Kluyveromyces lactis: one gene and its partner. The protein of the gene in region 1 purifies or fractionates together with the protein of each later gene. This does not show direct contact. Links are inferred from orthologs where the notes say so. Each region holds a gene or a part of one and is shown in the gene's direction. Other genes may lie near its edges. The genes, in order: MUM2 and KAR4.

The links.
Region 2: the proteins of MUM2 (region 1) and KAR4 purify together in Saccharomyces cerevisiae (affinity purification with mass spectrometry; 3 studies listed by BioGRID, with this or other methods). This does not show direct contact. The link is inferred for Kluyveromyces lactis from reciprocal best matches to the Saccharomyces cerevisiae genes MUM2 and KAR4.

The regions. Positions count from the first base shown.
Region 1 is NC_006042.1:1,720,167-1,723,202, forward strand, and holds MUM2 (Mum2p), read left to right. Parts: upstream 1-1,567; coding exon 1,568-2,380; downstream 2,381-3,036. Other genes in the region: ubiquitin-specific protease UBP14, read left to right, coding at 1-884; 3-deoxy-7-phosphoheptulonate synthase ARO3, read right to left, coding at 2,842-3,036.
Region 2 is NC_006039.1:48,606-51,134, forward strand, and holds KAR4 (Kar4p), read left to right. Parts: upstream 1-906; coding exon 907-1,878; downstream 1,879-2,529. Other genes in the region: KLLA0_C00671g (uncharacterized protein), read right to left, coding at 1-434; KLLA0_C00715g (uncharacterized protein), read right to left, coding at 2,065-2,529. UniProt on the Saccharomyces cerevisiae protein: Component of the MIS complex, a complex that mediates N6-methyladenosine (m6A) methylation of meiotic mRNAs and is required for initiation of meiosis, progression through the meiotic divisions and sporulation.

The DNA.
Region 1 (3,036 bases):
TAAATGATTACTTCAGTGGGGAAAAAATTGAATACCGTTGTCTCACCAATAAGAAAATTAACACTGCATCAAAAGTACCAGGGTTCTCTAGTTTCCCACGTACACTTATCATAAACCCGATTAGAATTGAGTTAATCAACTGGCAGCCAAGCAAGACATCAGAGCAAGTTGTGGTACCTGGTGTACGCGATGATGCTTTACTAGATATGTCCCCATTCAAAGCTACAGGAATTTGCGAAGGGGAAGAAGTCGAAGAAGAAGAGGAATCAGATTCCTTCCAATTCAACGAATTGTTCCTAGGACAATTAGAACAGATGGGATTCTCTCGCAATGCTACCAAAAGAGCATTATTTGAAACGGGAAACTCTGACCCTAATGCAGCCACGGAATGGTTGTTCCAGCATATGGAGGACCCTAACTTAAACGAGGCCTTTGATCCTCATGCTTCATCCTCAGCGAAAAATCGTGTCGATTCAGAAGCACTAAACAGTATGACTGCTATGGGGCTTGATTCGAAACTATGCCGCAAAGCTTTGATATTGAAGAATGGTGACGTCAATGCCAGTGTAGAATGGGTTTTCTCCCATATGGATGACGACGGGGAGTTACCTGAAGCTGAGGAATGGAAGGATCAATCCAGAAAAAGTTTTGGAATCCCAGCATCGTCAATTGCCTCTGCTAAGTATAAACTGACTGCTGTCATATGCCATAAAGGTAATTCAGTTCACAGTGGCCATTACGTTGCATTTATTAAGAAAGTGGTCGAAGGAAAAGAACAATGGGTTCTCTACAACGATGAAAAAATTCTCTTGGCCAACGATGAACCAAATTTCGAGGACATAGAAAAGAATGGCTACATGTTTTTCTTCAACCTTGAAGAATAAGAGGCATCTCCTCTCTAAATAAAAGAGACATGCATCACAACATGAAACTCTAAAAAAATAGGACTTGCCCACCTTCCTATCTGCATTGGGTATTCAACGATATGGTTGTGTGTCCATATATACATATATATCCTCGTACATGACTCAATTCAATACAGTATGGTGGGCTTATTCCTATTTATAGCGGTTCCTGTCTGGAGGCAGTTGTGTCCAGCCATTGCAAGTCACGTGAATATGCTTCATGATTCCCTGAAAATGAAACATGTCAGATCTGCCCTTAAAAATAAAGCAAACTAGATCAATTATTTACCAGTGACAGAACACTTGTTACCAAGTAAGTAGTCACACAATCTTCCAAAAACGATCAACAAACCATAAGTTATTTTAAAACCATGAATTCAAACGGATATATGTCTTACGTAAGTTTTTGCATACATTGGAGGATTGCCTACATGACACATTTTTAATCAATACTGTTTCTGTCTGTCCCTGTTTTCTATGAAACATGGAACAACCAAATTGAGACTATAAATGTTTCTAACTCATAATTAACCTTTTACTAACAGGTCAATGTTATCGTGTAGCAACCTGAATATAACCAACAGAGTTTGGATAACTCTTTCGCCAATCTGAATTTTGGTAGTTCTGACGAGTCCAAATTGTATGGCACAACCGCCAATGTCATGAACTCCAGCATGGCACATGGAGGTAGCTTCAGCTTACATGGGAACATTGATGGTATGGGCTCCCACTATAACCAAGGACTTCAGGGCCATTTGAGCGGATCTTCTACTCATAGGAGCAGCATGTCATCATATTGGGAACAGCCGCTCATAGAACAACATAATTCGCCCGAGATAGAGTCCTCGAGAGGCATTTCGTCAAACACGCATCCTGGAAGCTCTTCAAATAACACGGTAATAATGGACAGATCATCATATGCTAAAAGCTCAGGATTCAATACCACTTTCGACTCTGAAACAGAGCCATCATCAGACAACTTCAAACTTGAACTACAGTTGAAAGAGACACAGATAGAATCGTTAGAAATAGAGATAAAAAAATTGAAGGAGGTATTCAATCAGGGTTTGACTTTCAAGCAGCAAGAAGAGCAGAAAATGAAGAAATCAAAGGCTCTTACTTTCGATTCTGAAATCCAGATACCGGCATCCCTGGAAATAATATTTTGTAAGTTATCAGATTCATTAAAGAGAAAGGACCAAGAATTACAAGAAACAAAAAGACGACTAGAAGGAATAGTTACAGCGGTTGCGCTTAACCCTTCAAATTCTACTACAAAGTTTGGTAGATATGACGAAGAAGCTTTAGCACATAAAATGGTAACTCGATTGGAAACTTTAATGAAGGAAAACGAAGAAATGGCAAAAATGCTTAGTTATGGTCGAGTGAAGGAGACAAGTATCGAGCTCGAACTTTTACGTAAAGAAAACCAAGAACTCAAAGAAAGACTAAGGATTCTACAGCAAGAAAAGTAACACCAAAGTATAAGATCTTGATCCTTCTTTTTCTGATATTTTTGCTTTTTTCTGCCAATGACATTCTAGTTGGACGTTTTATTTGACGATCTAAAAACTTTCGAGAGTAATTCAAGATACATGTATGCTATATAACATCTACCTAGATTAGGTATACTTTGCTGACACACAAAAATGTAAATGAACCATTGATATTTATTTCATCCGACGTTAGAAACTTACGATTAGAGAAACTTGAACATACAAAGTGTAGACCTTTATGTGAAGTAATTTTAGTTGATTAAATAAACTGTATGCGGACTTGTCCTTGTAATATGTACATGAGGAGGCTCGGAAAATAAATATTGGTTGGCCGTTTATTCTTCCAGTTACCTGAGTTTGGCTATCTTTTCAAGAAGTGATTGTGTGTTTAAGAAGATTATGAGGTATTACAAAAACGATGCGGGAAAAGTGATTGTTATTCAAGCCTTTGAAAGAGCTCTTCTGTTTTTAACACCCTTTGCCAATAATCTTAGAACATCTTCAGTTGTTTCCCAACCGATACAGGCATCGGTGATAGAACATCCGTAAATCAACTTTTCACGGCCACCTTCTGGAGGAACGTCTTGTCTACCTTCGACTAAGTTAGATTCGATCATGACACCACAGATAGCATT
Region 2 (2,529 bases), on another chromosome or scaffold:
CTTACCAAAAATTGTTCTTGCAAAATTACACCTGCACTGAATGACTTTGGTACTTTCAGGAAAAATTTTGGTAACCATATCTTGTTGAACTCAAACCTACTCGAAACAGTTTTATAAACTATCTCTTGCATAATTGATCTGCTTTCTGGGTCAAAAGGACCCTTGCTTTTTGTTTCGATATCATGCAAATACTGGAACACAGGGTTTTCACCACCGTTCTGCACAACTACTGCTTCCAAAAAAGCTTCTGATTTTAGAATAGTATCATTGATAACTTGGATTTCTCGAAGTACATTCAAATCTATGACTAAGTTTTCAGTGTACCGTCCAACGTTTTCTAAAAGATCATTAGACTTTTTAGATAGATCTTTTTCCCCAGAAGAGATACTATATAACATGCCAATCTCACTATCGACTGCGTGTATCGTGTGCATGCTCTATATTTTTGAAGATAATACGTTCTCGAACAGGAAATATCAAATGCTGTAATTCAAAACACAGGTCAAACCCAAACCAAACATTTTGTGACAGGAAATTCAAATCTGCTGTTATTCCTAGTGTCTGTTGAACCAAAAGGCTTGACATAAACCTGCGACAGCGAAGAAAATAATTTTTTTCTTTTTTTGTTTTGACGCTTCTTTTTGTCACTGATAGTTTCAGATTGAAACTTTCATTCTAACGGAAAACGCGAACATATGTCAAGAATGAAAATCCTTTATAAACGGCGGCAAAATATTCTTATGAGTAACAATTAAAAGACACATTTCTAGTGCTAGTACAAGGCATCATCTGCTAAAACCCAATTTCACACAGTAGTATTTATACTCATATGGAAAGCACTTTTGTTTCAAGTATACACTTATTTCTAGTACTTTTCTCAGGATAAAACTATAACTGGCTGCTGAAATGTCGGCGGTTTTAGAGGAAATATATCAGAAAAAGGGGAATTCGAGTAAGAGCGTAGCGAGAGAACATGTCACACTTAGGCCTGCAAATGAGTTTCACACGAATGATCATTCAAATAACTATATACATACTGGATCGCTTCCCCAAACCCACGTAAGAAACATTGAGAATACTGTTGATGGATATCCGAAGTTGCAGAGGCTATTTAGCCTGAAGGAAAGGCAGGTAATGCAGTTTAATACAAAACCATTTGGTTGCAAGGTAGAGCTTGATGAAATAGTTCCCACATTAAATGATTGGGTACAAAAAGATGGTTTAACTTTCGATGTTGTCATGATTGGTTGCTTGACTGATAATCAATTTATCTATCCCCTTTTAACTCAGTTACCGATACATAAATTGATATCAAAGCCAGGGTTTTTATTTGTATGGGGAAGTGCACAGAAGATCAATGAGCTTTCAAGACTTTTGAACAACGAAATATGGGCAAAAAAGTTTCGCAGAAGTGAGGAGTTGGTTTTCGTCCCTGTCAACAAGAATTCACCATTTTACCCCGGATTAGAAGCAGACGACGAGTCACTTTTTGAAAAGATGCAATGGCATTGTTGGATGTGTATCACAGGAACAGTAAGAAGAGCCACGGATGGCCATCTCATACATTGCAACATTGATACCGATTTAGCAATCGAATCAAAAAATAGTAAAGTTGGGGCAATTCCGAATCAATTGTACAAGGTAGCAGAGAATTTTAGCACCGCTACAAGGAGACTTCATATCGTTCCCGCCAGAACAGGAAGTGAAACACCAATCCGGATGAGACCTGGTTGGGTTATCATGGGTCCAGATGTACTGCTAGACAACTTCAACGCTATGGAATATAAAAATGAGGTTGGAAGAGTTGGATCGAACCTGCCAAAAGATCCCTCCATAGAGTCATTAAGACCAAAATCTCCAATATCTATTAAAAATTGATGGTATATATAAGCTTGTAATTTCTAATTTGCATTCAGAAGGGCTAAGGTCTTGATTTGAACGAGGCATACGATATGTGTCATGTGTTTTATGTCTAGTCACTGTGGTCATTATCAATACAATCTCCATTCCCAAAATCGGCCGGTTATTTTGAATGAATAAAAACATCAGTTAAAGGCATTTTATTCATTTGAACCATTGTTCAACACCTTCCTTGATTGGAGTCAATAAACCTTTTTGTTTTGGTACATAGTTAATTCTATGGTAAGCGTTCAAATTCTTTCTCAAGACAATTTGGAAACAGGTGGCAGAGCCCTGTCTGGAAATAATAGTGGAGTATGCTAGGAAAAATTCCCAGATTCTGTACCATCTCATCCCATACTTGTTGACAACATCGTCCTTATGGCCAATCCAGTTTCTGTACCATCTCCATAAAGTTGCGGAGTAATCAACACCGATATTATCAATCGAAACGACCTCAAATCCAGTAGCTTCTAATTTTGAAACGACAAAATCTAACGGTGTAGAAGCGTCAGCACCAGGGAAAATATACTTGTTCATGAAAAGACCCCAGATCAAATCTTCGTATTGCCATGGCTTTCTCAATCCGGCGTATTGTAAGTAGAATAAACCATCATCTTCCAACATGTC